6 linked regions of the Nothobranchius furzeri genome follow. The protein of the gene in region 6 interacts with the protein of the main gene of each other region in a pairwise test. Links are inferred from orthologs where the notes say so. Each region holds a gene or a part of one and is shown on either strand. Other genes may lie near its edges.

What was found.
Region 1: the proteins of ehhadh (region 6) and necab2 interact in binary tests that used the Homo sapiens proteins (3 or more experiments, as listed by UniProt). The two-hybrid records come from large-scale screens. The link is inferred for Nothobranchius furzeri from reciprocal best matches to the Homo sapiens genes EHHADH and NECAB2.
Region 2: the proteins of ehhadh (region 6) and cat interact in a two-hybrid assay, tested with the Homo sapiens proteins (2 studies listed by BioGRID, with this or other methods). The link is inferred for Nothobranchius furzeri from reciprocal best matches to the Homo sapiens genes EHHADH and CAT.
Region 3: the proteins of ehhadh (region 6) and ssna1 interact in binary tests that used the Homo sapiens proteins (3 or more experiments, as listed by UniProt). The two-hybrid records come from large-scale screens. The link is inferred for Nothobranchius furzeri from reciprocal best matches to the Homo sapiens genes EHHADH and SSNA1.
Region 4: the proteins of ehhadh (region 6) and tpp2 interact in binary tests that used the Homo sapiens proteins (3 or more experiments, as listed by UniProt). The two-hybrid records come from large-scale screens. The link is inferred for Nothobranchius furzeri from reciprocal best matches to the Homo sapiens genes EHHADH and TPP2.
Region 5: the proteins of ehhadh (region 6) and kctd6b interact in binary tests that used the Homo sapiens proteins (3 or more experiments, as listed by UniProt). The two-hybrid records come from large-scale screens. The link is inferred for Nothobranchius furzeri from reciprocal best matches to the Homo sapiens genes EHHADH and KCTD6.

Annotation. Positions count from the first base shown.
Region 1 is NC_091744.1:83,491,368-83,496,780, reverse strand, and holds the start of necab2 (N-terminal EF-hand calcium-binding protein 2), read left to right. Parts: upstream 1-2,219; 5' UTR 2,220-2,337; coding exon 2,338-2,664; intron 2,665-5,305; coding exon 5,306-5,330; intron 5,331-5,413. UniProt on the Homo sapiens protein: May act as a signaling scaffold protein that senses intracellular calcium.
Region 2 is NC_091754.1:44,626,587-44,631,311, reverse strand, and holds part of cat (catalase), read right to left. Parts: intron 1,514-4,725; coding exon 1,375-1,513; intron 1-1,374. UniProt on the Homo sapiens protein: Catalyzes the degradation of hydrogen peroxide (H(2)O(2)) generated by peroxisomal oxidases to water and oxygen, thereby protecting cells from the toxic effects of hydrogen peroxide.
Region 3 is NC_091746.1:74,033,893-74,039,361, reverse strand, and holds ssna1 (microtubule nucleation factor SSNA1), read left to right. Parts: upstream 1-2,103; 5' UTR 2,104-2,238; coding exon 2,239-2,290; intron 2,291-2,854; coding exon 2,855-3,054; intron 3,055-4,390; coding exon 4,391-4,483; 3' UTR 4,484-4,628; downstream 4,629-5,469. UniProt on the Homo sapiens protein: Microtubule-binding protein which stabilizes dynamic microtubules by slowing growth and shrinkage at both plus and minus ends and serves as a sensor of microtubule damage, protecting microtubules from the microtubule-severing enzyme SPAST.
Region 4 is NC_091749.1:36,617,437-36,621,979, forward strand, and holds the end of tpp2 (tripeptidyl-peptidase 2), read right to left. Parts: intron 4,242-4,543; coding exon 4,090-4,241; intron 2,494-4,089; coding exon 2,397-2,493; intron 2,279-2,396; coding exon 2,148-2,278; intron 1,982-2,147; coding exon 1,738-1,981; intron 1,513-1,737; coding exon 1,393-1,512; intron 1,314-1,392; coding exon 1,224-1,313; 3' UTR 1,097-1,223; downstream 1-1,096. UniProt on the Homo sapiens protein: Cytosolic tripeptidyl-peptidase that releases N-terminal tripeptides from polypeptides and is a component of the proteolytic cascade acting downstream of the 26S proteasome in the ubiquitin-proteasome pathway.
Region 5 is NC_091755.1:58,704,412-58,709,621, forward strand, and holds the start of kctd6b (BTB/POZ domain-containing protein KCTD6), read right to left. Parts: upstream 3,264-5,210; 5' UTR 3,135-3,263; intron 2,449-3,134; exon of another isoform or gene 2,311-2,448; intron 2,084-2,310; 5' UTR 2,011-2,083; coding exon 1,984-2,010; intron 960-1,983; coding exon 273-959; 3' UTR 1-272. Other genes in the region: monoacylglycerol lipase ABHD6b, read right to left, coding at 3,676-3,855, 4,019-4,119, 4,201-4,255. UniProt on the Homo sapiens protein: Probable substrate-specific adapter of a BCR (BTB-CUL3-RBX1) E3 ubiquitin-protein ligase complex mediating the ubiquitination and subsequent proteasomal degradation of target proteins.
Region 6 is NC_091754.1:18,043,849-18,048,573, forward strand, and holds part of ehhadh (peroxisomal bifunctional enzyme), read right to left. Parts: intron 4,519-4,725; coding exon 4,415-4,518; intron 4,316-4,414; coding exon 4,146-4,315; intron 2,828-4,145; coding exon 2,716-2,827; intron 92-2,715; coding exon 1-91. UniProt on the Homo sapiens protein: Peroxisomal trifunctional enzyme possessing 2-enoyl-CoA hydratase, 3-hydroxyacyl-CoA dehydrogenase, and delta 3, delta 2-enoyl-CoA isomerase activities. Catalyzes two of the four reactions of the long chain fatty acids peroxisomal beta-oxidation pathway.

The sequences.
Region 1 (5,413 bases), on a different chromosome or scaffold from region 6:
TGATATTCTATATTTATGGGGCGACGGTGGCACAGGAGCTAAGTGCTCGCCCCGTAATCGGAAGGTTGCAGGTTCGAGTACCGCTCAGTCTGTCGCTGTCGTTGTGTCCTTGGGCAAGACACTTAACCCACGTTGCCTGCTGGTGGTGGTCGGAGGGACCGGTGGCGCCAGTGCTCGGCAGCCTCGCCTCTGTCAGTGCACCCCAGGGCAGCTGTGGCTACATCTTAGCTCATCCCCAGCAGTGTGTGAATGTGTGTGTGAATGGGTGAATGACTGATTGTGTTGTAAAGTGCCTTGGGGGGTTCCAGGACTCTAGAAGGCGCTATATCAAATACAGGCCATTTATGTTGAGTGTCACAGCTATTGGTCACAAGTGGTGTTAATAATAATAATAAATTGCTTAAAGCAATTTACTTAACCAAACATACCATTTATTAACATTACAGGTGTGTAATCTGGATTTTATAAATGTAATTTTTACAAATATAATCTTGGTAACCGCACACGGTGACCCCAGGTTGGGAACCACGGCTGTTTCCAAAAAGCTTCTTCATAAACTCGATGTCATTTATCACTCAGCAATCCATTTGGTCACTGGTGCCCCTTTCACTACTCATCACTGTGATCTGTAGACACTCGTTAACTGGCCATCGCTCCATTCCTGCAGGCTGTTACATCGGCATCAGTTCATATGCAAAACAATCATCAGTAGAAACCGTGATATCTTCGCTCATTACCAGGGGTGGACTGGCCTATCTGGCATTCTGGTACTGTCCCGGTGGGCCGCTTAGCCAAGTGGGCTGCTTGCCCAGCTTGGGCTGACACTACACAGTTGGTGATCTGTAGAACATACATGGTAACCCGAAGCTAACAGAGTTTTTCCAGGCATTTTTAGAAAAAAAAAACCCAGTAGAGCGATGACGTAGGAGTTGTTTTACAGCGTTAGCATGTAGCTAATGTCCCGCTGATCTCCGCCTGTGGAGAATGAGCTGATCCGGAAGGCCAGGGCTCCCGGTCGCGGCGGACTGGCCCTGCTTGTAATTTAACAGTCCCAGTCCATATTAGAGCTCACATTCGGCTTAGAGACGAGTCCGCAGGCAGCCACACCCCTAACCCCCACCGCTCTCCCAATGGGGAGGGCCGGCAATTCGTAAGAATGCCAGGGCCGAATTTTGGTCCCAGTCCACCCCTGCTCATTACTCCACTTCCAACAACCAGCGCAATTTACGTTCCAGTAGCTTCATCTCTAAAGTTATTCCCAAAGCTCGCACCTCCTCTGGCCGCTCCTCATTCCAGTTTGCTGCTTCCAACGACTGGAATGCGCTGCAAAAAAATCACTGAAGTTCACACGATCCATTATCTACCTTCAATAATTCATGGGGATCAATAGTTTCTGATCAATGTGCTTCTGAGTACTTAAAGACAGTTTTAAATCTGTTTCGACTGATTTTACACATTATATATGAGAACAATCCTAACTGTTTTATCAGAATTTTATCTCACCTGTTTTGTCTGTGGTGTAAAGCTAACTGCTGCTGCTTCCTCTTGGCCAGATCGTCGTTGTAAAGGAGAATGAGTTTTCAATCCACTCATCCATTTAAATAAAGGTTAAAATTTAAAAAATGTAGGTGATTAATGTGGTTTAATTCATTTGTTCAGTAGCAAGAAAACTCCTCTTGCCACTGCACGCTCAGTTCCACATGGGGGCAATCATGTCAAGTGACTGGGTTTTAGTTTCCTGCTGTCATGGGGCCGCTGAGATATATAGATCTATTTGTCTTTTTACTCACTTCACAGCCTTTCAGTTATTTTGTCAACTTCCCAGCATGTCTTAATTTGTCCAAACCAGCTGCTTGGTGCTGTTGGACATGTGGCGGACTGAAGAAAAGTCTCTCCAGCAGCCGGAAAGGGCTGGGCTGGGGAGCCTCTCATTACTAAAGGTTAGATCTGTCACATCACACATGCACATAAAGCTCTAATGAGCAGCTGGAGTGACAGTTCAGGGGACTCCTTTTGCTAAAGCCCTCTGATCCTCCCTTTGGGATGCAGCACTTCCTGCGGTCTAAAGGAAGAGCATCTTTGTTCAGATTACACACTAAACCTTAAAGGGGGAAGAAACAGCTTTTGTGTTGCTTTTTCCCAGAGGAGCGATGCACGTCCAAAGGCTTCATCCTTAGATGCACCAAACAGAAGTGTTTAAGTCATAATTCAGATGCTACTGGGTACAGGATGGATGCGGGTGCTTCTGGGGTGGATGCTGTGATGTAAGAGGAGGTGGGGGTGGGAGCGCCTCTCTCTCCCCCATAGAGCGCAGCATGAGCGCTCCGCAGCAAAAGGATGTGTGAGCAGGCAGCGCGCTACTGTAGGGACGGAGTCCACAAACTGCTGAACAAAGAACAAGCCAAACTTCGAGCCCAGGAGAGCCGAGAGCAGCCGAACCCCGTAGCCGGTCAGGACAGCGAGTCCGCGACGGCAGCGCAGTCCGGAAACAGCGGCGCCCAGCCCGGTGGAATCGACGGGCTCGTCCGCTGGATCGTCACCAAAATGAGCGACAACAAGAACGTCTCCAGCCGGGAGTACGCCTCCAGCAAGGAGGAGGTGGCCGTGGCCCAGGAGCAGTTCTTCGCCCCCGAGCCGCGGAGAGGCATCTCGGTGATTCTGGATGTGAGTATGAGGCACCGGGAGGCGGCCAGCCCCGCCAGGAGCGGGTGGGTGCATGGAGACATCCAGGGAGCGGTGCGCACTTACGCACAGACAGTTTAGGTGTCCGGGATCAAACCGGCGTCCCTCTCCTCTGCATCTGCACCATATCAGAAAATTCAAACTTTGCACGTTTTAACTGTCAGTCCACATAAATCCTGAGGCTCTCCAACTGCGCTGCAGACATGTTCCTGTGTTAACCTTCAGAGTGATAACTGCGTGCCTGTAGCATTTCTGGTGTTCAGGTCAGCCCAGTTTTATTTTACTGTGCTTTAAAACGAGTTGATCTCAGTAGAAAAAAAGAAAAGAAACGTAGAAACACGTTGTGTAGACCTCCCCCCCCCCCCCCCAACTTGTTATAAATTAAGATTTTTCAAACGTTTTTTTTTCTTTTTTCCTCTCTATCATACCATACCACTTTATTTGTAGAACGCTCTTAACACGGCACTACAACCGACCAAAGCGCTGGACATAAAGACAAATAAATAAAAAACAAGCTAAAATAGTCGTGCATATCATAAGAAGTAAAAAGGATAAGAGTTAAAGAACAACAAACTAAAGCCAATAAAACAAGTAAAACCAGAATATAAAAACACAAATTTTAACTACCTGGCAGCTAAAACTGTTTCCAGCTGAGTCTCTGACACCAGCCTTTGAACTTTTTCTGACATTTTCTTCTTTCTGCATAACTTTGACCTTTCAAACGTGAATTTTCTGGCCCCTTTCCAGCATATCTGACCCCAATATTCTTACTTTACACCAAATGGGCTTCCTGGTGTGTCCCTGAATGCAGCATTTCCCTCATTAGACCGACTTGTTCTCCTTCTCTGAGTCTACCGTGAACCCATTTATTATTCCGTCTCCTCTCTTCCAACAGAAGCATATTCCTAAGGTGAAGGCATGCCTCCTCTTTGTGTCTTTCTCTTTAGTCGTGTTTTTTTTGTCTCTTTCTGTTGTAACTCTTCACCATCACCTCCTCCTCCTCCTCAGTGAGACTCTTTCCCTCCTTCCCAAGCTTCCCTGACTCCAGCAGCTCCAGCTCTGTTCTGAGAAGCTGAACATGGCCCAGGGTGCAGATGCAGAGCAGCTTTTCAATTGGAGTGCGGCTCTTTCAGCTCCTGTTGCCCTTTATTTAAGAGTTTAGTCACAAAAATGTCTTGATGAGTTTCTGTGCAATAATTTAGCTGACTAAACTAAAAAAAAAAGTTTTTGGGTCGTCACGATCTGTTTGCCCATTAACTTCTGACTTTGGTCACTACTGTTAACATTCATCTTATTCAGAAGATCATGTCTTTGAAAAGCACATTTTTTTTTAGATTTCCTGTAATCTGACTAATCCAACCAGACCAAATTCAAAATATGTGACTAAAGATCACATCCTCTCGTTTTATTCTACAAATATCTTCTTTAATATTGTTTTAAAATGCATCTCATGATCACTCAGCACGTCTTGTCCTGCCGGTGGCTCGTGTGTCACTCATCCTCAACCTCCATGATGAAAGTATTCTAAAACGTTGAAGGTCCTCGGAGGGGGGAGCTTTCCCTAAAATGATTCAGATTCACTCCCAGCTTGTTCAGCTGCAGCTGTGGTTGGTTCGGTTTGGTGTGGTAAGCTAACTCCGGTCCAGCTGTGTGGGATTCAGTCTGATCCGTTACCAGTTATTCACCAGCTGGTTTCTGTTTTCCCAGCATGACTCTTCTGTCAGCTGGAAGGAGGTTTATGACACAAACATTCACTATTTTATAGGTTTCCCTCCTTAAACTCCTGAAAACGGGAATCTATGGGTTCCATAGAGGTTTTTATTTTTAATTTTCTGCTTAAATTATTTCTTGGAGGCAAGAATAATAAGTAGTTTCCACTGGTGAGAAACAACATTATTTTAGTGACCCAAACAAGAAAGAAGAAACCCCAAAAGTAAGCCCTGAGGGACACCTTGAAAAACAATTACACTAAAGCTAATTTAAATTATTAATAAATGTTTAAAGAAATTACAGATTTGTGAAATAATCCAGTGTTTAGGTGTTAACATTTATTAGATGAGGCTGTTTTCAGACACACAATGCTTCAATTTAACTCTTTAGGCTTGAAATATGAAAAACTAACGATTGAAAATACTGAGTTTAAAACTAAATAAAACAATAAGATATGGTGTTACTTTAAGAAATACAACAAGATTAAGAAATAGTGCTTGATGTGTCTCAGGTTAGGACTTCATACCTGGTGGGTTACTGGTTCAAACTGGTTTGATCAAGTACTTTTGTGAATAAAAATTCATATTTCTGTACTAAGTTGTTGCAGAAAATCTATAGGAACTCACACAAACTGGATAATCAGATGCTGAGAGGTTTTTGGAACGTTGTTGAAAGGTTCGCTCCGTTCTTTAGTCCGGAAACATTCTTGTTTAGCAGATGATACGCTACTGTACTTACAAAAGAGAACTCTCAAAATAATTGGTTTTATTAACCATCTTGGTTTATTTGCACATTTTATTTAGTATTTAGAACCTAAATGTAAATGTGAAATAAACATTTCCCAAACATAAGTTGTGTTTAGAGAAATGCTTTCTGTTTGTCACTAAAATGTCCTTCTTTCTGTCGTTCACAGATCTTCAGAAGAGCCGACAAAGATGGTGAGTGATGTTCTGGACTGCTGGCTTCCTGTAGCCTGGCCAGCCATGCCAACGTTTCCTTATGTAGAACAGACGGGCCAGGC
Region 2 (4,725 bases), about 27 Mb from region 6:
TCACGTGTGCGACCTGTGTTTACACTAGCCGACAGCATGGAAGCCTTCAGAGCTGCGCTCTGTCACTACCCGATCCATCAATTGTCCAAGCGCTTTTTGCTTGTTTGTTTTTGCAAGCGGAATTACTGCTCCTTGCGGAAGACCACAGACGAAGGACGAGGTTAAGAACGGGGGAAGTACTGCCACCTACAGGTCTGGCATGTCCTTAACAACGTATTTATCCGGGTACGTGTGGACAGTTTTTTTTTTAAACGAGGTGGTGTGGATGCAAGTTTTTGGAGGGGCGGATATTCATTTTCTTTTTTTAAACGGCTACGTGTGGACTAGGCCTTAAGACTAACAAAAACGTTCTGAAACAAGCAAACAAAAAAACACCAGGGGTCTCATTTATCAATCCTTACTAAACCCGTACTTAAGCTCAGCGCAAAAAAAAAAAAAAAAAGTACTTACACCAAGTAGGTTTGTGATCTATCAAACATGGAGTACACACAGCTGCACGCAATCTCCGCTTCATAAATCAGAAACTATCTAGACCGTTTCTCAGCTGCATTTTAGTCACATCCCTCCCTCACCACGCCCACTTACTGCCATAAATAATCAATGCAAAGTGCCTTGTGGATCTCATGCATATACATAAGCCGGCTGTTGCAGCGCTCCACCAATGGCAACCGTAGATCAAGGCAGATCAAGGAAGCGCCATTTCACAGAAGCAGAAATTGAGGTACTTGTGGATGAGGTGGAGAAATGAAAGGAAGTGCTTTTGCAAAACAAATAAGAGAAAATCCATGAAGTGGCACAGCGTTGCTGAAGCCGTTAATGCTGAGTTCTTCAAAGAGATCTGTGGCGGATCCCCAGACTCCCGGGTGACAGTCACGCGCGCTAACCAGTCAGCCAAACAGATCTCCCCTGTACAAGTAGCCAGGGTGATCAATCGGGTCACAGTGACAGGACACACACTGTCACAGACGCATGACATTCTGTCTCAATCCGTCCCCCTGTCCGTATTCTGCGCTTCAGGCTGTGTGTGTGTTTGCGTGCGCCTGCGTGTGTGTGTGTGTGTGTGTGTGTGTGTGTGTGGTCTTGTTCTGTGTGAAAACGAAGAGTACAAGTGATAATGCTGCATGATTTCATAATTGTATCCTTCTCAGCAGCAGCACTGCAGGTGCTCTCCATGTCCAACATGTGTGTAAGCCAGGTCCTTAGTCAGCTTAAAGTTGCACATTTTTCTGCTACGTTTTCTTTCATAAATCCCAAAGTTTGCGTGGAAAGTTGCTTACGCAGTTTTCAGACCCCGTTTTGTGCGCAAGCAAGCTTGATAAATGAGGCCCCTGGTGTCCATCTGAACCCTAGAAACGAGAGAAAACCATGACTGACCTTGGTTGTCAGTGATGCACATTGGGCCATCCCGTTGGTAGTTGGCTACACGAGCCCTGTATGGACAGTTGACTGGGAGCTGCAGGTAATTTGCTCCCAGCCGGTGTCGATGTGTGTCAGGATAGGAGAAGAGCCGACCCTGTGTAAAGACAAAATGAAAACAAACACTTTTATATCAGCACTAACCATCTGCGACACATACCGTGTTCAGATGGTAGCAAGGCTCGACACCTACGATAAATTGCCTGTGTTTGTAAAGCTCCTTCAAGGGTCCTACAACCCCTAAAGGCACTTAACACAACCAGTCACTTATTTATTAACACACACATTCACATCCCGGTGGTGATGAGCTACAATGTAGCCACAGCTGCCCTGAGGTGCACTGAAAGACGTGAGGCTGATGAGCACAGGCGCCACCGACCACCAACAGCAGGCAAGGCTGATGAAGTGTCATAACCAAGGACACAACAACTGAGAAAGACTGAGTGAGGCTCAAACTTGCAGCCCTCCAAATATGAGGTGGGCAGTCAACTAATTCTTTTATGGTGGCCGGGGAAAGTGAGAAGCTGAGTAGGAGTCATCCTAAAGAAGAAGAAGGCTGATGAGTCTAGGAATAATGATGAATGCTGTTAGTGGCGATAAACCCAAAATGTAACCAAACAGAAATGTATGACTATGACCAAGGTTATCGTGCCCATGCCAGTATATTCAGTGTTCTTTAAAAAATGAAAAGTGTGAAGGTGTGTGACGTTCACGTCCCTTTAAGATGTTGTACTACAGACTCTACCCCACCCAGTCTGCTACAAGTCTGAGGATATGGAGGATTAGTCGAATGATGGAATGGTGGTGGTAGATCTGGTGAAGGAGGATAAGAGATGTTCGTTTCCCCCAAAGAATGCTTCCATCGTTCTGCAATAAGTAATTAGGGTCCATGGTCCAAACAAGCAACGGACAGAGTGGAATAGAGGGGAAAAAGTGTGTGAAGCATTGGGTGGAGAAAAGGATTTCAGGTGTAGAAGACCGTAGTGAGAGCAGTGATGTCTGGTTTAGAGACAGTGTCCATGAGGACAGGACAGGACACAGAACTGGAGGTTCTCTTTGGGAGTGACAAGGATAGGATCAGGACTGAGTCCATCTGAAGGACAGCTCTTGTTAGAGGTTGTAGAGATAAAGTCAGAGAGGACAGACAGACACTAGGGTTGCAATGATTAACCGGTTCGACTATTAACCACGGTGTGAAACGGTGCGGTTAACCCACCATAAAGACGTCTCCAACACAGCAAATTAATCAGCGTGAGATATTGGAGGTGTGGCGTGAGAGCGTGTGAAGAGGCGTGCGTCTCATGCTCAATACGTGAGAATTGGCAGCCCTGAAATGAGCTCCAACTGAGTCCGATTATGTAAGCGACTGAACGGATATACCGTAATATTAGAACAATGACTGTGAACGACGGTTCATATTGTGTTGTTCTACGTTTCCCCTGTATCTGTCTACAGCAAGCCCTATGACAAGCCATTTTAATATTTAATCAACACCTCTGTACTTCCTGTGCAACATAATAACATAATTTATCCTGTCCAAATAATATTCTTACTGATGACACTAGAAGATATGAACAAGTAGAGATTACAATAATTAATAAGCAATATTCATAATAACAACTGCACTAGTAGGACTTTAGCATCTTAACTCATGAAGGTGTCTCCATCCTTCAGTGCTAAACCTGACCAGCTGTCAACAGTTAAACTTTTTTGTCTTTTTACAGAAACTCAAAAAGGCTATTAGGCAAATATAATTAAAGGTGTGGTTCACTGAAGTAAATTTTACTGATTATTTCTGATAGAGTTTTTCATGCAGGCTGAACATGAAAATAGTCTCCTACACCTATCTCCTGCATTAGCTTCTGATAGAAAACAGACTGTGAAACTCTAGGATTAGAAAAGCCTGACAGATCTACGTCACACTGTCACTAACATTCATGGACTGACCCATCTTGAGTCACGACGGGGAAGCCTGTTGTTGGTTTAGCGTCCAGGAAAACCGCAGAGAACGTCTCTGCTAGTAGAAGCTAACCATTAGCATTAGCTACTCCACCACACAGCAGAACTCCTCCAGGCTTGTGTTATTTGTGGAGATAAAACATCAATGTTGCAGAGCAAGCAGTCAGTGGTAGAGTGAATTTTCCTAAGCAAAATCTCCGAAAACAATATTTCAGGGATTCAAAACCTTTAAAGAATCTAATCGTGCCTTTTATCTGTTATTTATAGAATGTGTGTGCTTTATTTACAGATGTGAAATCAGTTCATGTAAAATAATCGTGAAACTGACTATTTCTCTGACTATAATCAAATCACCAACATTTATAATCGTTGCAACCCTAGTTTGGACACGTCCAAAGGAGAGGGGCGTAAACAAAAACACCTGAGTTTATCACAAACAGTATATATATAATTAACTATCAATAATGGAACCTCAATGGAATTATTTTTTTCTATCATTCATTTGGCTAAATCTAAAACATCTAGTCATCTAGGTGTTGTGGTTTTGGAGCTGGACCAGTTCTAATGTGGTCTAGACCAGGAGTGCCCAATCCTGGTCCTCGAGCGCCGGTATCCAGCTCGTTTTAGTTTTAACTCTCCTTCAGCACACCTGATTTCAATCAGCAGGTGATTAACAGGCTTCTGCAGAGCCTGATGAGATGCTGCACAGGTGACTCAACCAGTGTGTTTGAGCAGAAAAACCACAAAACCTACTGGACCAGGATTGGGCACCCCCTGGTCTAGATGCAAAAAGTGCTCAAATATTTGATCGTTCACATATTAAAGGTTAAAAATATAAATAAATAAAACAACAACCGTCTAAGTATTCTGCTATTACTGCAGAATAATCTGGTCCAGATTTGAAGGGTCTAGGTTTTGTAATTAGAGCAGATTAAAGATGCTCAGGGAGTGGAAATGTTAGAAATGACCTTTCCAACACTGAAACTAAAAAAGGGAACCCACTTCAGCTTCATCTGTTGTAATATTTTATTTTAAATATGTTCTTAATTAAAACAAATGAACAAACAAGCTAAATGTTGACGTCAAAAAGCAACCTCAGGGTAGCTGCAGATTTAAGGGAGCCAAATTCAAGACTTTTTAAGACCTTTTTAAGGCCACTTTGACCAAATTTAAGCTATTTTAAAAATTAAATTTAAGCGATAATTTCCAGCTATTGCCTGGAACCGGTGCTAACCATGTCGCGAACGTGGGATTAGCCATCCAGTTACCATTAAACTTGCCCTTCCCCATGGCGCAAGCTCCCACTAGCTTAACCAGCTAATGTGCTCATCTAAAAAAAAATAGCCCCCT
Region 3 (5,469 bases), on a different chromosome or scaffold from region 6:
AGTGAATAAGAAATAGATCATGAGTGGAACGCTAGGAAAGGCAGAATAGGTAGGATCAGAATAAGGAGAGAGTGGTGAAGGTCACACCAAAGCATGAACAGGTTAGCCTGGCAAGCCAGACTAAATAAATGTATTATTTAGTCTGGCCACGCTCCATTGACGGCTCTCGGTTGTGGGGCGGGTTCTACCGTTGTCTTTCAAATGATCTCCGCATGCTACTGGACAATGAATGTGACATACTCTTGTTTCACTCTGTTGCATCGTCCCACCCACCAGGCATATAGAGTGCCCTGATTGGCCCACAAATCGGATAAAGCTCTGTGATTTGTTCACTAAGCAGATAGAGCACTATGATTGGCCCACCATTATGGACCAATCACAGCTCTTAATATGTTTGAAACTCCTCTAGAGAGCTGTGATTGGCTAGCCAGAGTCCTGGTAGGAGCTGCTGAGGTTCCAATGGAGCATGCCTAGACCATTCTTTGCAATGCAAGAATTTGGTCTAGTTCACTAGGCTATGAACAGGTGAGTATTCAGCTGCTTTTTAAAGGAGACCACTGAGTCTACTGGTCTCAGTTCCAGAGTCTGGGGGCCACAGCAGCAGATGATCTGTCACCTTTGACCTTTAGCCTGGTGCTGCACAACCTGTAGGGTTTGGTCACTGGACCTCAGGGACCTGCTTGGGGTGTAGGGACTAAGAAGATCACCAATGTAAGATGGTGCTTGTCCATGTAAGGCCCTATAGACCAGAACCAGGATCTTGAAATGAACCCTGAAGTTAAGCGGCAGGCAGGCTACCATAGTTTGTACCTTCCTGTTACCCTGGCTAGCCATCCTATATATGTGGATATGTCGGTTGACCATGACCCATAGACAGAGCTCAGTCGTGGGGTGAAAGCTATTGTTGCCTTTCAAACTGCCTCTGCATTCTACTGGACAACAAACAAAGTGACTCTCACTGCTACGGATGTCAGTCAACAAGGTAGTCCACCATACTCTGTCGAAGAAGACACACATATGTCTTTTTTCTAAATGAAGGACTTAAGTACCTCTGTCTGTTCTTGACTCAAAGAAGAAGCCATCTAAATAGTCCAAAGTTGAGGCCAAAACCATTTCAAATGATCTGCCTCTGTCTTAGCTTTTCTGCTCTATCGCAATAACATCCCACCCACCAAACTGATAGAGCGCTGTGATTGGTCAGGCCTGCTAAGGCTCCAGTACAGTGTGGCTAGACCAACCTGCAGAGCAAAATAATTTTGCTTCTGCTACTGTCTGTCTAGATTTCTATGCCTCCTTCCTGCTGCATCAAACATTTGTTTTTCTTATTCATTTATCTGTAACTAGTTAACTGATGCTTAAAAACACAACGACTGTGTTCAGGAGAGATGGCCAGAATTTCAGCCCCACATCACCAGTGTACACAGTCTGGATCCAAAAGTATGGCATGGTGTCACCTGCTCCTGGGGAATCCTGGATTCAATTTTTAATCATGATGATCTATCTTTATTTACATTTATACTTCTGCTTTACCATTTATGTTTGTATTTTTCTGCCGTATCCTCATCCGTGGTACTATTATCTTTTTCAGCGTTCATAAAACTTGACTAAATCCAGCAGCTGATTTTTCCAGACCAGGAAACTAGAAAAGAAATGACGCATCAGATCCAAAACATTAGTTATTGTTGTTGGTGTGTGTGTGTGTGTGTGTGTGTGTGTGTGTGTGTGTGTGTGTGTGTGTGTGTGTGTGTGTGTGTGTGTGTGTGTGTGTGTGTGTTGTACCTACAGGTATTTAGAAATCATTTTATACAAACAAGGCTTAATTCATTTCAATGGAACTTTCACAATACAATAAAGAAATGTAAGTTTTGTGGCCAGCAGGATTTTCTGTGTGTCTGTTTGTCCTCAGCGACCAAAGTCTGGACATCAGAGACCTAGAAAAATTAATTATCTGCATTTACTCATTAATTTATTGAACTATTCACGTTTTTTATCACCAAAGGAAATACAGTGGGCTTTGTTTTTGTTTTGTGGAGCTCGCACTTCACGTTTCATCCACCAGATGGCGGAAGTGAGTCAACCCCGCTGTTTAGCTCCAACGAAGAAGAGCTCTCAGGGGGTGGGAAGCCCGCCGTTGCCTGATGAATTAAAACGTTTCGCTGAACGGAGACACATTTCCCTCTTTTAACCTTTTTCTCTCAAGATTTATTGAGTTCGCTTCAGTCGACCACTTTTACCAGGATGACTCAGCAAGGCGCCGCTCTCCAGGCCTACAACAACGAACTTGTCAAGTGTAAGTGACTCGTTTGAAGGATTAAATACTTTATTTCTTGATTTAAACTCATAAAATGTTCGGAAAATAGATAAAGTTGCTTCAGCTCTAGAATTTAATTACATTTTAACCAAACGCCACATTTAAATGTATGTAAAAAGTATCTAAATTTAACACTATGTGTGTAATTTAGTGTTTTAATCTGGTTTGTTGTTTTTTACATGTCTGCTTTAATCTGGACCACCATCAGATTAACCCACATGAAAGCTGAGCTTTATTAAAGCCATATGATTAAAAAATACTGCTTATAGCTGCGTTTCTTTAATATCCTCATTTAACCCTAAAACAACTAAAAATAGCAGCATAGCGGAACTAATGTGCTTTAAACGTTCCTACCCGGTGGTTAATCCGTGCGGCCTTCCTGCGGCAGTTTTTTAAACTTTCTGACTGGTTTACACAGTTTTCTTGTTCTGGGGAGCCATCAGAAATGTTAGATTGATGTTTTAGTTGAATAAAGTAAAGCTAAGCTCGTGTTTTTGGATCAGAGCCACTTCAGGTGTAATAAAGCTTTCATTTTCCTGTCAGGTATCGAGGAGCTGTGCTCAAAGCAAGAGGAACTAAACCGACAGATCCGTCAAGAGGAAGATGAGAAGGAACGTCTGGAGCACGACATCCGTGTTCTGTCTGAGAAACTGAGCCGGGTCAACGAGAGCCTGGCACGAAGACTCTCAGCGCGTACGACACTGGACCGCACCATCGCTGAGACAGAAGCTGCCTACGCCAAGGTGTGTCCTGGTTCCGTCTACATCAGGGCTCTCCGGCTCTGCTCCCATAGGACTCTGATCCAAGATGTTTCAGTTGTTTTCGTGCTCCACCACACCTGATTCCATGGTTTACTCACCTGTTCGGCAGCTCATGAGGCCCTACAGAAGCCTCCTGATTAAAACCTGATGTGTTGAAGCAGAGAAACAAATCAAATCGGCTGTACGGTGGCCCTGGAGGACCACGGCTGGACATTATTAACCTGAACCTGATGAGGTTTTGTAAAAGTTTTTGTTAAAAATGAGAGGAGCGTAGCTTTGATTTACCAGAATAATTCCAAATCCCAACAAGTCAACGAGCTTAATAGTGTAGAAGGGAGATAAATTCAACTGTTTCGTCACGATTACCAGGATAAAACGTGTTGTCATGGCAACGTGGGGTTAAAACAAGGCTAGCCCCATCGAGCGATGATTCCACGTGACTTAGAGGAACATTTCAGACATTTGTTTCGTTGTCTTACTGTAGATGGCCTTCTGCCAGGCTGCTGTTCGGAGGGATAGACGAGCTAACGGCTAGTCTGAGACAAATTCACAGGGTGCAAGCTGTCTTAAAGCAGTCACGTCAGTTCCCGTGGTGTTCTGTTTTACCCTTTAAGTGCCAAATTCCTCTGATAATATTCCAGGAAATTTATCCTCTCGTGCAGGAGTGGGCAACTCCCTTCCCAGATGGCTGGTACCCAGCCTGTTTTTGTTGTTTCCCTGCTCCGACACACTCGAGTCACCTGCTCAGCAACTCATCAGGCTCTGCAGAAGCCTCTTAATCACCTACTGAATAAAGTCTGGTGTGTTGAAGCAGGGAGCTGATTAAAACATGCTGGATACCGGCCCTCGGAAAAAGGAGTTTGTCCCCTCGCTCTTGTTTAAGGTTTTATAAAATAATGCCACATGAACCGCTCTGGAAGTTTAGAGCAGGTCTAAGAAGAAAGAGTTTTTATGTGGATAAAATCACAAGAAAATCAGGAAAATGACTCAAAAAGGTAAGTGAAGTAAACGCGAGAGTCCGAAAGATGCAGATTTAGTAGAAACACCAGCCTGAACATCGTCTAGATCCTTGGGTCTGGTGTTTAATCCCGTAACCGTGTTTTAGCGTCTGTCAGATAAATCAGGCGGATCAGACCAGATTAGGCCACCGCTGAAGGTTCGTCGTGTTTCTGTGTTGTTGCTGAACTCCGCCTTAAACGAGTGAAAACACACTCCTGCTCTGCTCTAATTATAAAACAACAAGGACACCCGCAGCCCTTCTCTCCTCCTCATCTCAGCGTGAACGTGTTTTACTGTTGATTTTTTATCCTTTTTACAGATTTTAGAAAGTTCCCAATCACTTCTGAGCGTTCTGAAGCAGGAAGCAGGAAACCTCAGCAAGGTCACGGAGCCTCAGAGGAGGGATCATTAACGGCGAGGCGACGTCGGCAACCACAGAAAGACGTTTTTGCACATTTAAGGACTCTTTTGTACCGCTTCTAATGTTTTTTTCTTTCTCCAACATAATAAATGTATTTAACTCTCGTTTGGTGACAGAATAATAAATAAGTCGCTGACTCGTTTGTTCAGGTTGTCGGTTTATTCAGCTTTTCTTTGTACAAGTATGACATCATCTTTTTAATTTGCCCCAGTTACTGACAGTTTACAGGTAAGCACATCAGCTGATGGAGATCTACAGACATGGGGGAGGGGGGGGGGGGGGGGAACGATGGATGAGGTGGAGTTTCTACCACAGAGTCCAACATAAACACAGAAGGTCCAGGTTCTGGTTCTGCTGAAGTTCTTGCTGGTGTCAGAAAAAACAATCAGTGGATTTTTGTGATTGGGGGGGGGGGGGTTTACATGACCACGAGCGAGTCACCACAGCAGGTCCAGATAACACCACAGCTACTAAAACCTTCACATCGCTGCTGATAAATCAGACACTTCAAGTAACGATTGATTTTCATTCTGATCATCGATAAGGCCGAACGTTTCATCGCGCTGGCAGCAAACGCTCCGCCTTTTTATGACCGAGGCACTGAAGTCCAGATGTTTGAGTCGAACTGGAGCTCAGAGATACTTCCTGCTGGGTCTTCATGTCAGAAATGTGTCTGCTTGACTTTTAAAGGCAGAACGATCATAAAAGCAGATAAAGACTCAGCATTATTAATCAAAACCACCTTAATTCATTACGTTTGGCTGCTGGAAGGAAAATATGAAGAAACGAGGGATGATTAAAAACTGCTTGATCCGTAAATAAAAGCAAGTGATGCAAAACTAATGAAAAGAAAAGATTTCCTATTTCTGGAAAAGTGTCGAATAAAAATGTTTTTCTCTCTTCTAAAACAAAAAGAAAAGTTCTATATAAATAAATGACTTATGTGTAATTTCTTGTAACTTTTTTTACTGAAATTT
Region 4 (4,543 bases), on a different chromosome or scaffold from region 6:
TTAGCTGTGATATGGGTCTTAGCAGTAAAGCAAACTAATATGGGTAAAACCACTGGTGTGGTCCCTTTAAAATGATAAAATACCCCTCTAAATGGCTCCTGTTTAGGTTTTTTAGGGAGAAATGTCCAAGATATGCTGACAGGTGCACATAAAATCATTCCCAAACACACACCCTGAATCACATCTGTTAAATCCAAACAAAAAACTCTCATTTTCACATAAAGCTAGCCTTTCTTACACCTCTACTAGACATGCGTATATGCAAAATACATCGATTAAGATTACATCTGTAGTATACAACTATTGCATCTTAATATTGTGTGTTGTGTGTGTGTTTACATTATTCTTATGACACTGTGTACACATGCAGCACGCTGAATGCTACACTGGTAAGTTCTTTATATCACTGTGTGAACATTAAAACATGTGATCTGCTCCGAATGTCCTGTGGTGGCCCACCGCTGCATTATGTTACTGAGGTCGGGTAGAGTGTGGTTTTACTGTAGCAACCAGAAAAAATAATGATAAAATCATGCTGCGGAGTGTTACAGCTTGTATGTTCGACTCTTAGATGCGGATGAAGATGACCCACGTGTGGACGGAGGCTAAGATCTGTGCAGCTTCCCTCTCATTTTCATTTAATCAGAAAAGGTACACAAAGAAAGGCACCTTGAGACTGTTTTTGTGTTTGAAGGCTAAACATACACCCTAAACTTGGCTGAAAAAAACAAAAAGTATCTGTCCAAGCCTTTTTTTTTAAATATCAGAAAGAGTCTGTTTGGTCTTGTAGATCAAGTCCTTCTCTCTTCTTACTAAAGCATTAACACAGCCAGGCTCAGGGTCACAGGCTGTGTGGAAAGACTTCTGATGCAGCCCTGACGTCCACACTATCAGTTTTTACACTATTTACACAAAAAAAAGGTCGAAATGACAAATTGTCCTGAAAGCCGAGGAAGATTTGTAGATAAATGTAAGTTGGTGGAATTTTTTAAAGGTTACGTTCTGGTTCAATTGACTTCATAACATCTCAAAAAAGCTTTGAAAGCCTCAAATTGTTTACTTTTTAGTTTGGGGTTTATTAACGTCTGCCTTTAAAAAAACCAGACAACATCTCGGGAGGCAGCTGGTTGGTCAGATGCACTGAACATGTGACCTGGAGGTTGTGATGTCAGAATTATTGGGACGTTTATGGCTGCCGTGCTCATGCGGGTGGGTGTTTGTGCCTAAAATGGTGTAAAGTCAGCAGGGTACATGATGGGAAGCCAGTTCTCACTGAAGGTGGCACAATGTGTCCATCCGAGATGACGCATGAGCTGAAAAACAAAGCGTAAAGTTATTTTACCAGAAGCATCTAGAAAAGAGCCGATAAGCTGACGGTGACGGCTCTGGTACCTGGATGCAGTTCTTCATGTTCTCTCTGCTCGGCTTCTCCTCGACCATTTTAGAGGCGTATTTTAAAGCTCGGCCGTACATCTTGTTCACCAGGGCGTGTTTGTATGAAAACATCAAAACCTAAACGATGAAAAAACATGAACGAAGTTTGTCAACATATAATAAAACTGAATGAATCACAAACATCTCACAGCAAAAGCATTTTTGTTTTTAAAACTTTTATTTAAAAAAAGAAAGAAAAGAAAATCTGAATAATTACGCAGCATCTGTCTACTTTAATACATTTATGAAACACATTCCCAAAAGAGTAAGTCATTGTTTTGATGTCTAAAGTACTTTCATCACCTTGGAGTCCGTTAGCTCTGCCCACTTCTGCACCTCCCAAAACGTATCAGTCAAGGCCTTCGTCACGTTTAGAAGGGTGTCTTCAGAGCTGCTGGCCACCTGCTGCTCTGCAGCCTCACCTGATGCTGCCTGACCAGCACCAGCGCCGTCCTGCGTTGCAGAGGGCACCAGGAGCTGATCTGCCAGGGCGCAGCCTTTCCTACACAGTGCGTCCAACAGAGATGACTTCTGCTTCTCCATGTCCCTGAAACACAGAGGCTTGTTCACACTTCTGCTGGCAGTTAATCCTACATTATTTCTTGACCCATAAACTGATTGCTACATGAGATATGTAAGAATCAGCGTTAGATACTTGAGGTTTGCAATAATGGTGCCGAATCCCAGAAACATTAAACACGTCTTTAACATACGTCTTGATAGAAGCGGCCTCGGGTCGAGGATCTGTTTTCATGCTGAGGTAAACAGCCAAGGCGGTTTGGTCGATGTGGGAGATTACAATGTCTGCTGCAGACACCACCTCCGCCAGACGCTTCCCTCGTTCCTTAACACAAAAAAAGAGACAACTGTCAGCAAAGATGGTTGAACGGTTTAGATTTTACACAAATAAAAGCATTTCTGAGAATGTGCTCTTCTTTGTCGGGTAGGGTTAGGTTACGTACCTTTTCTAAGTCCAGCTGATGCAGCCTTTGCACGTGCAGTGGAAGGTAATCTGAGTAGTTTTCAATCAGTTCATCATAGATGGCGCTGGTTTCCAACCTGAAAGGGTGGAGAATTAAAACTAGAGGCCGACCGATGTATTCAATTTTTTCCTATATCGGCCAAAATTATTTTTGAAAGCTGATAAAAATTCTTTTTTTATTTAAATCAGGTGCCTTTTTCATTGTTTACACCAAAGGGAATATTCCACCCCTAAAGCCGGGCGTACACTGTGCGACTTTTTCACTTTTTTGAGCCGATTTTCCACTCGTGCGAGAATCCACAAGATCGGGGCGAGTTTTGCACCGAGCGTCGTGTAGTGTACAGGGGGTTACGAGAGGCGATTAACACCACATGACCAGCTACCGAACAGCAGTCGTGAGCTCGCACGGACTTCTGGTGTGTTTGATATTTTGCTCGTCCCTCGTGAGGGTATCGCACTGTTGAAGCGGCGCTGCGAGCAGCTGCGACCCAAAAAGTACCAGAACTGCTCACGGCGCATGTGCAATAATGCATCAACACCGCTCGCCCGCTATTTCCCTAATAACACACGTTGTTCATTTTTATTTCTACACGTTTTTTACTCACAAAGATTGTCAAGAAAGCATGTTTGTCGTGTTCATGTTAAATTAGACTGATCACAAAACACAGATTTACTTTCTTTATTTCGTTTTCCTCATCCAACCCCCAAAAATCCCTGTGTGTGTGTCCCTGCAGCACTCCCGAAGGACAACAGGCAAAACAAGACAAAAAAGTATGATGTGTAAAAACTGCTATTTTTAGCATATTTTTAGGTCCGACGTGTTGCTACCAGACGTACAGTGTGAGCTGTCAGGTCGCATCCAAGAACTGGGTCGTGCAGTGTGAGCACACGACTCCTGAGATCTGCCCTGCGAGGAAGTCGTACAGTTTGAGCTGAAGCTGAGTGCTACGAGTGAAAAAGTCGCACAGTGTCCGCCCAGCTTAAGTAAAATTGTGTATATTAGATTTCCCAGAGTTAGATACGCAAGAAAAAGGATTTTGTAGCTAGCAAGCTCAGTCATTCTCCTGATCTGGAAGCAGTAAGTTTTGCTTTAGCTTAGCATAAAACAATGTAAGTAAAAAGGAAAGCTCTATGCTAGAAATCCTTTCTCACTTATCTAGCTCTGGGAACTCTAACAACAGACGCAGCTTCTGAGTGAAATATCTCTAAGTTTGGTGTCTAATGTTTGCACTATTTTTATGTATAGTTGAGATTTATTTTTTTACTACAGTGTGGTAGTGTGCTTTACTTTGTGGTTTTTTTACTTGAATATTCTACCCGGGCCAGCCACTATTTTGCACCATTATTCTGGGTACCGTTTGATTCTCTTTATTTTAAACACAAGAAAAAAACTTGAATCCGTTTTATTTTCTGTCGTTCTGAAACAGGGTTAATAATGTTTGTTAATGTTTTGCGTTTGCTTTACATTTGAAGTATAATAAATATTAAGAGATTTATTTACTTATTTCATTTACATTGCACAGAGTGAGTGTTCAGTTGTTTTCCACAATCAATGTGCTGCTTTATATATCAGACTTAATAACTGGCTTTAGATATTGGCCATCGGCCACAAAATTCTTTAAAAATTGACATCGGTCGGTCTCCAAATTAAACCTGACAAAAACAGTGCTCACTTTGTCATCCACTGAATCTTTAAATCTCTCATGGCCTCAGCAAACTCATCCTTCACTTCCTTCTCTTTGTCTCCATCCTTGTCCTTCTCCTTACCCCCGTTCTTTGATTTATTAGGAGCAGGAATTAAGTGGTAGGTAACTGGAACAATATCCTGTACAGACACACACAAACCAAAAAAAATTTGATCAATAAAGTATTTTTTGTAAAAACAGGACATCCAAATCCAGCATCTCAAATGCTTCTCGTCTCCCTCCCGCTGTCATAATTTAAAACACCAAACTCTCACTGTTTTTTTCTGCTCAGATCAGCTAGGAAAAGTACATTTTATAATCCAGTGCTACAGATTTAAAATAGTAATATTAATAATTGTGTCGACCACCAGAAATACAAAGCTAATGCATAAAAACGACTATTTGCTTATTTCAGAACAGAAATACTGACATGCTTGGACAT
Region 5 (5,210 bases), on a different chromosome or scaffold from region 6:
TTAACAATCCCACTGTTTTCTTTTAAATGACTTCCTATAAACAACAGTCATATTTTTGGGGGGGTAAGTGGTAAGTCATCAGAATAAATGAAATTATGATTTTACAGCATTACTGTCTCAAATCTCATCCATTTGCCCCAAAATTTCCAATATCACAAACAACTGTGTTAAGTTTGGAAAATAAATCAAGAATTAGCTTTTTTTTTTGCTGTCTTGATTTTGAGCTTTGTTTTATAATTATTTGTGTAGTGAAATGGTAACTCCAGCAGATATCAGTCTTCAACTTTGTGAGCTGGTCTACAAAAAGTCCAGTGATGCTCAACTGTGTTTTCGTTTGCACGCTCACTCATGTGATGCACACGCGTGTTCCGGATAGTGAAGCCCTGTTTCATGATGTAGTCCATGAGATGAACCCTTAAAGACACCTCTTGATGATAGTCACACGGTCCAAAGGTAAACGATACCTGACAGTCCCTGGTGTCCATCATGTGTTTGTTCCACTTGGTGAAATTGTTTGAAATTCCTTCAAGCAGCGCGTGAACTTTGGTCGTAATAGTTAGCTGTGTGATGATCACCGCAACTGGGTTTGAGTATTTAGACAGTTTCCGAGTGCTAGAGAGCTCCACGACTTCCTCAAAGATGTCGGGAGGGTACAGCGGTTTGGGATCATTAAGGCACTGGATCAAAGGTTCGATCTGGTAGAAGTCTGCCTCCTTCCTCAGCAGGTCTGTCTCTGTGAAATCCACAGGAAGGGTAAGCTCCGATGTTCGCAGGAAGTTAAGGATGTACCGGAAAAGTGTCCCGTCTCGATCAATGAAATAATTCCCTTGGGAATCACGAGTTGTGGGAAAATCACCCCTGAACATGGCACCAAGCATAGAGTCTGGATAACGCTGCAAGGTGGACAGACTAGTGGTGTACAGGTGGCCTCCCACATTCAAGGTAACAGGAGTGGTCATCTAAAGGAAAATTGTTGCAAAAGTGAGAAATAATATTAATAATTTGTAGTTCTTCAAGAATAAAAATATATTGTTCAAAACAGATTTACAGGAGAAACTCAGAAGATTTAAATGTGGTGCAAAAGTTATTTTATTTCACTAACTGAACTTAAAAGGTGAAACTAATATACAAGATAGACTCATTATAGGGCTGGGCGATATAGCCTAAAGTCAATATCATGATAAATTGAGGATTTCAACTCGATAACGATAAATGAATAACTACAGGTATGCGGAGAAACAAAAGTTGTCCACTAGATGGGGCTGTGTCACGTGTATTACATTGGGACACATTTTTAGTGACAAGGTGGTACAGCTTCTTAAAGGGACATGAACGTTGCCAACCTACACACATCTTTTCATTTATTTATTATCAAATTTATTGACATGGGAAAAATTATCTCGATATGAGTCAGAAATTTTGATAACGATACATTTTCGATTTGTTGCCCAGCCCTAACTCATTATATGCAAAGCCAGATGTTTCAAGCCTTTATTTGTTATAAATGTGATGATTAGGGCGTACAGCTTATGAAAACCCCAAATTCAAACATTAGAAGATTGTGAAAAGGTTAAGTAAAATCAAAGTGTCACACTCTAATCAGCTATTGGATCCAGAACATCTGCAAAGGGTTCCTGAGTCTTTAGATGGTCTCTCAGTCTTAGTTGGATTACTGAAATAAATATACTTTTGCACAGTATTCCAATCTTCCAAGTTCTCCCAGTATATTAAATTATTGTAATCTAAATAAAAGTACACATGATTTCATTATTTTTTTTATCATTGATGAGTTTTATTTTTTCCTCAACATCTTTTGTTGTTATTAATTTCGCTGTGGACATCCTTTTATGCATTATTGTTCTACAGCACTTTGGGTTGCCATGACTTGAAAAGCACTGAACTAATAACCTTGATTGACTGATTATCAGGAAGAAGAACATTATTAACATTGAGTCTTCATTTCTAACCACAACCATAACATACCTTATGGCCCCAGTCTCCATTATCCATTTGTGGAAGAATACCGACTTGGTCAGAAACAAAACAGAAGGAACAGATGACAATCTGCACACTTTACATTTATCTGTGGAAGAAAACAGCCACATTACTACAGATTAACTTAATTTTGCACACACTTCTCTGTACGTATGTTAGATTTTATGAACAACATTGTAGAGTAGCTGATTGATCAGCTGCAGTAAATCTTACGTAAAATGTTTGGTTGTTAATCAGAGAGAACTTCAACAGTATATCAAACATAAACAACACATGCATATGTCTGAAGAAACGGAAAACCAGATTACTACTCACTGTGGATTTTTATGTGTCCCAAACATATTTATCAGATTATCCCATGTGATACTTATAAATGTAGTCCTCCTAGTCATCTATAATAGACTAGAACAGACTTTATTAATCTCGCCGTGGGGAAATTCACTTGCTACAGCAGCACAAACACTTAGAGAAAAGGAATATGAAAAATGCTGATGCTCTTTACAGGAAATACCCTGAAATAAAATGGTCTGAATGTTAGCGGTTCCTCTGCAGCACTGTTGTGACCAAACAAGGTCAAATATAACAAAAGAGGGAACATCTGCATTTGCACTGCCCTCGTCTTTATCACTATGAAAGAAGTGTTATCTCAAACGTAATTTCAACAACCAGGGTTTGAATTTTATAATCGAGAGGTTCTGTTACTTCTACAGCAACACCTGTACGGGGAAAGAGGAAAAGCCCACCACACCGCTTTAATTTATAGCTTAAACTGACATCCTGATTGCTAATACTTAAACGAAAGGCGACGAAATACACAAGTACATCTCTCAAGCAACAAAGTGTATTTTAAAGTGAATTGTGTTACAGTTTAAATAGTATTTTATGCTGCTTTATCTGAAGCGTTAGTAAAAGTGAGTAATGGTTAGCGTAATGATTGTTAGCCTAGCTAGGCTGCTAGTTAGCAAGCTAACACAACTAGCGATACATAAACAACTGCGGCTATCAACAGGATTTCCTTTAGGCTATCTGCGGATAAGAGCAGAACATGACCGGGTTTCTTTGGTGTTAGCTTTTGTGTTTTGGGTCCAATAAGAGTGGGCTGTGGTCAGCATTTAAAAGTCAGTGAATGTGGGTCGTACCGTAGCAGCTGTGGTCGGCTTCAGGCTGCAGAAACACTGTCCACAAGGAGGATGAAGGACAAGGAGGAAGAGGTCTTGCTGCAGCCTCCTAGCATGCAAAAGCACACATCCACAGAGAGCGGAACGGGCTTACATGGTACAGAGGAGGGGCCCAGCCGACTACAGGCTCCTGCAAAACTATTAAACATGCAAATATTCACAAGAGGCAGTCCTTCAAATGCCCATTCAGGTGAACATCCTGCATTTTGAGACCATTAGACAGTGGCATTAAGTATTGACTAACACTAGAATCAATCTAATATATTTATGTTGAATATTTGCCTACTGTGTTGTCTATTATTCATTAAAAACATGAACACGAAGACACAATAATGGAAGCAAATCCATATATGTGTATTATCCCAATCCACTTTACATAGAAATGTAACTCAAGCAATGTTTGGACACTTCATTCTTTATTTCAGTTTTAATGTGCAATTAGAAGTGGTGTGTGACTGAACACACGCAAGAAACGGCATCAAAACAGGATGTGATTTAAGATTCAAGAACACTTCTTTGTGCCGCTCCCAGAATTTTGCTGCAAGATGATAAACTCCAGGAGAAGTTTGGCTGTGCGACATGGCTTTTCCATCACCACAGAGTGCCCACAGTTATCCAGCAGGTCCACTCTGCATCCAGCCACCCACTCTGCAATAACATTGGCTCCAGAGACGTCCACGACCTAGACACATTTGAAACAATAATTATTTTATCCATCTGACATGAATTACTTCATGTTAGCATCTAAATCCTATGCATTTATTAGAATCTCATAATTTCTGTGAAACACCAAGCAGTTATCTATGTTTTTATGTGGGTCATTGTGTTATTTTTAAATCACTTACCTGATCTTGTTTTCCCCATATTACTTGCAAAGGGGTAGTTATGAGATGCAAGTGTTCCTGCAAGGCATACCTTGATTTTTCACCAATAATCTCCATAAACACTGATGAAAGAATATTTCTGTTAGTTAAATATTATCTTTATTGTGTTGTGGCGTACATTATTCAGAGCACTGTGAACTAACCTTCTTCGTAGAATGAGTTATGAGGTTGTCGAACATCAACCAGCCCTTGAAGAATCTGAATAAAAATTCACAGGTTTAAACTATAAAATGATTAACCTTTTAATTTTTCATTCATATTATTTTCTTTTCACCTTTTTACTAATTCACAGATGAGCAAAGGGCTGCCACGTAAACGGGCAGACATCACATTCACACCTGAAGTGGTCTCTTGCTTTAATATTCTCCTTAATGACAGAACGGAGGAGTGGACCCACACAAACCACACATCAAATCGGCCAGCTCAGTCTAGGGAGAGTCATACTACCTGTCTTGGTCTCCTCATGGACATGGCCTCTAAACAAGACAACATGGCCACTCTCACTACTGTCTTCAACATTTTTCCTTTCATTCTTGCTGAAATCCTTTCAACACACATCTCACCTGACACTTTTCTCCAACCTGCTTCATACACTTCTTCACCTCTTTTTTACACTCTCTGTTGCTATGGACAGTAGGCCCGTGCCCTAAGTACCTAAAGTCCTCTACCTTCTTTACTTCTACTCTCTGTAACATCACCCTTCCACTTGTGTCCCTCTCATTTACACTCATACCATACCATACCATACCATCTTTATTTATAAAGCACATTTAAAAACGGCATGGCAGCCGACCAAAGTGCTGTACAGAATAAAAAGTAAAAACACAATATAAAACAATACACGGTCAACAATAAAATGCACAACAAGGCAGATAATTAAAGTCAATAAAAAGACACATAATAAAATAATAAAAGTCAGGGATTTAAAAATGCCTGGTCGTAAAAGTGAGCCTTCAGCAGCGATTTGAACTGGAGGAAGGATGGTGCCAGCCTCAACGAAAGAGGAAGTGCATTCCATAATGTCGGAGCAGCATAGACAAAAGCACGCTGCCCCCGCATTTTGTATTTCATTAATGGAACACGAAGCAGCAGGCAATCAGCAGACCTCAACGCCCGGTTTGGCACATATCTAGTGACAAGATCCGACAGGTAA
Region 6 (4,725 bases):
GCCAACTTCACAGCTGCTTCAATGGTGTTATGATCAGTCACAAAGTCAACTAGTCCCAGCTGAAGAGCCTCGGCAGCGGTCACATGACGACCTGTAGGACAGAAAATAAATATGAGTCATTCAGATCTTCTAATTCAACAAAAGTTACTTTAAGACTAGTAAGTATCAAACAGAATATGATCTAAAGGTCCAGAAGTAATGATTATTTAAAAGGGTGTATTAAGATCAATTCCGATAATAAATAATCATCATCTTTAGAACTAAGCAGTAAATCCCAATTAAAAGACCTAAAACTAAACAAATGCTGCCACCTGCTGGTTGTCTGTGGAACAGCTGCTACATTTCTGCAGTAGTTCCTTATAACATCTGGTCCAATCAGTTAAATAACAACTAAAGCCACAAATAAACTAACAACAAGCAAATCATTGAACCTTTAACACCTTAAAATAAAATATAGACCTTCAAAGGAGGAAAAAATAATTTGAAGTCCTTGAGTTAACTTAATTGGAAGCTCCTTTTGTGGCAAAAACAACCTTCAGGTGCAGTCAGAGAACATTTCAGCTGATTATTCTTTGCCTTGGCTCCTTTGCTTTGGAGAATAGTTTAAAAGGACCGTCGAGCAGAAACCGGCGACAGAGGCGTCTATGGAGCACTTACAACGACGGCCTTGCGTGAATGTTTCACCAGAAGGATTACAGTTTTTCTCAATTGTTTACACACATTTTCTGGTACTTGAGACACAATTACCACAACATGTAACCAAGTAACCAACCCCCCTAACCAATTTTGCGAAACTACAAGCACAATTCCTGCTTTGCACTCAAATTTCAAATTTAAAACACACTTTTCTCAAAACACTACACACAATTCTCTGCTGTTGGCACAATTTCCATACAGGAACTAGCTTGTTCTCACAAGGAACACACTGCTATTCAAATGAGCACACTGACTCATCACAAGGGCAAACACCTGTCACACAGTTTTACAATCAGCAAACAGAACTTTAGCATAAAAGGGCAACAGGTGAGCTCTTCTGTGTTGGAGCAATGGATGCCAACTTTGGAAACAGAGGCAGAGCCAGAGGAGTGAGATTAAGAGGAGGACGGGGAGGATGAGGGTGAGGAAGAGGAAGACCAAGGACCGTAATCTCTGAGATCCGAGCCACAGGTCAACAGGGTGCAATTTGAAGGAAACTCAGAAAGAGTGAAAGAATTGCGATATAACTATGTGCAACAAGTGAGTCCCGCAATTGATGCATACACTCAACACTGTGTACAGTAAATTATACATGTTTCAATATAGTAATCATAATGACTGTGCTTCACACTAGTGACCACTCCACGTTTATTTCTGATATTGTCATGTGTGTTTCAGAGAGTCCTTGAGCAAGAGGCAGCTGCAGGGGAGCACCAGTTCATCTTCATTGATGAGGTTGGATTCAGTCTCACAGAAAGACGAAAGAGGGGAAGGAATATCATTGGCCAGCGTGCCATTGTTGAAGTCCCTGGCCAGCGCGGAGGGAACATCACAATGTGTGCAGCGCTTGGCTACCATGGCATCATCCATCACCATGCTACCCTTGGCCCCTACAACTCCGCCCATCTGATCACATTCCTGGACACCCTACACAACACCCTCATTCCACCAGACCAGGTAGATGGTCCAGAACAGCCCAGGTACGTTGTCATTCGGGACAACGTAAGTTTCCACCGGGCTGCTGTGGTTCATACTGTAACTAGTTCACTGGCCACCCACGCTTTTTAGTTGTTTACCTCCCTCCATATTCTCCATTCCTCAATCCCATTGAGGAATTGTTTTCTGCATGGAGATGGAAGGTGTATGACCGACAGCCACAAACCCGTATACCTCTTCCCCAAGCTATGGAGGACGCATGTGGAGATATAGCAGCTGATTCTTTTCATGGCTGGAATCGCCATGCTAGGAGATACTTCCCCCGCTGCTTGGCCAGGGACAACATTGCTTGTGATGTGGATGAGGCGCTGTGGCCAGACCGCAACAGAAGAGAGGATGCAGCATAGCTTTAGTGTTTTACTGTAACTGTATACAGTAAATTTCTGTTGGATGTAGTTTATGTGTGCAACTTTGTGTTGGTTGGGAATGGGATAAACATTGTGTACAATGTTTTGTGGGAAAAATAAAATCATTTCTACCATGTATTTGTGTGTTCAGAGTGTAACAACAATATTCTGAAATAACAACACATGCATGTTTTTACTGTCTGTAGGTGTAACACTGAACCAAAAAGGCTTTAGTCATTATGATGAATGGAGAAGAAGTGTTTTCCATTCATCATAGTGTTTAACATTGAGCACGAGTGTTCTGCTGGTTCTTATAAATGTCTATTTATATGATGGTTTGTGCGTGTCATTTGACAACATAATCACATTTTGAGGAGAAATTACATTGTTTTGAATGTGAAGTTTACTTTTGCAGGTTAAGTGTGTGTGTATTTTCTGGATTTGTGTGTAGAGTTCTGAAAATATGGGGCATGCTTTCAGAAAATGTGTGTAAACAATTGAGAAAAACTGTAACAGTTATGCGGACCAATGATTCAGATGATCCACCCAGAAGAAAAAGATCTTCTGCTAAACATTTAATTGTCTCTAAGAAGATTGGACCAGAATGTATTACTCCTAACTACCAGTCAATTGTAAGAACTAAATATGCAACACGAGGTTCCTCTCTTTTTTTTACCTGTGGTGATGAGCTCCAAGGCTGCTGGGATTCCAACGAGCCTCGGCAGACGCTGGGTTCCCCCCGCACCGGGCAGCAGACCCAGAGTCACCTCTGGAAGTCCTAACCGGGTCTAAAAAGGCAAAACACCAAACTCATGTGTGATTAATTCCAAAGACTAATTTTGTCATACGACTTAAAGGAGACATTAGACTTTTTAATCTAAAGATGGAACAATTCTATGGTCGAATAAAAAACTCTCCACGCATAAAACGAGTTCTACTGATGTATTCTTGACATTTTTAGTGCCTTCCTGAATGAGCCGTTTCATGGCTCTGTCACTTTGTAGCCTCTTTTACAAAAGAATGCTGCCAATTTGCTGCCACGCCATATCGGCATCAGGGAGCTTTAAGACTTTACAAGTGGTTAGACCGTAACGGTAAATGGCCTGTATTTGAATAGCCCCATCTTAGGATTTTACAACCCCCCAAGGTGCTTCACAACACAATCAGACATTCACACACACATTCACATGCTGGTGGGGATGAGCTACGATGTAGCTAAAGTTGGCCCGGGGCGCACTGACAGAGACGAGGCCTGTCACACACTGGCGCCACCGGCCCCTCCGACCACCACTAGCAAGCAAGGTGGGTTAGGTGTCTCATTGGAGTCTTTTTAACAAGCTGCTCCTAAAGGTGTGTGTCCCCCACAGTCCCCGTGCAGTCTCCGGTGATCTAACCTCCAGCTCTAATGAAGAAAAGCTCCAGGAGCTCTGCATTGCTCCAGATTATTATCTCAGCTGATTCCCTTTACAAATGCAAAACTTGCAGGTTTTTACTTTCATTGTCATTATAGTTGCCGGCCGGAACTCAGCAGTAACTCCCCACGTAATCATGACACCTCCCTCTGTTGCGCCAAGGTGCAATGGCCGTTTATATGACTATTACTGCAATATGGCTACCAAGTGAGGCGGAATGAATGCCGCAGATATCGCACATCCTTATACCAGCATGCGCGTTAATAGACACACCCTTGCGTTAATATTACGCTTATTTGCCGGCACAGTGTGCCTTGTTAAAAGGGCTTAAGAAAACAAGCTGGCCACGCCCACCCATCCCCCACTATGGCTACTATAAGCTGAGAAGCTCTGCTCCTCCAGCAGCAGCTCCCTCTTGTATGTGATAGGTAGTTCTATGCTAATTTCCCCATTTGTGACATCACAAATGAAGACGCTTTGAAACGGCTTGTTTTAGACACATAATTGCAAAAACCAAACACTGACAGAAAATGGATTGATGTGTTTTTGTTTAAATTTAGTTTTTAAAGAGGCAGTAGAGACCCACATAGCAGCACAAAAAAACATGGGTTTTACGTAATATGTCCCCTTTAAACAATCTGTCATGTTAGACACAAACTAATCATCAGACCGAATCTCTGCAGCGTAAACTAACCTTAGAGTGTGCGACACGGTAGTGACAGCCAAGTGCTAACTCGAGGCCTCCACCTAGGGCGACACCCTCTATGGCTGCAACCACTGGTTTGGATGACAACTCCAATCGATCAATCATTGGTACCAGGGGCGGCCCAGTCATGTCTGATCTGAACTCCTTGATGTCTGCGCCTGTCATACAAAAATAAAACACATTGATGTTTTCAGAAATCATCAGATATTCTAAATAATAATATATTTATAGGTGCATCGCCTTATTAATGTTCATACCTCCACAGAATTTTCCATTCTGCCCACAGATGACCACAGACTTCACCTCTGGTTCACTGAGAGCTCTGTCCATCAAGTCAATCAGACTCTGCCTCACCACCGCACTGCAGGGATGATGAGGACAATAATAATGATTATCATCATCATCATTATTATCATTATTATTATTATTATAACAGAATTATCATATGGATGGTTGGATTCTTGAATGTAAATGAAGTGTTTCTCAAAGACAAAGCTATTCTCTGAGACAAGCATTACATAGTAAATGATTAAATAGTGTTCTGTATTCCACTCAGACGGTTTACAAA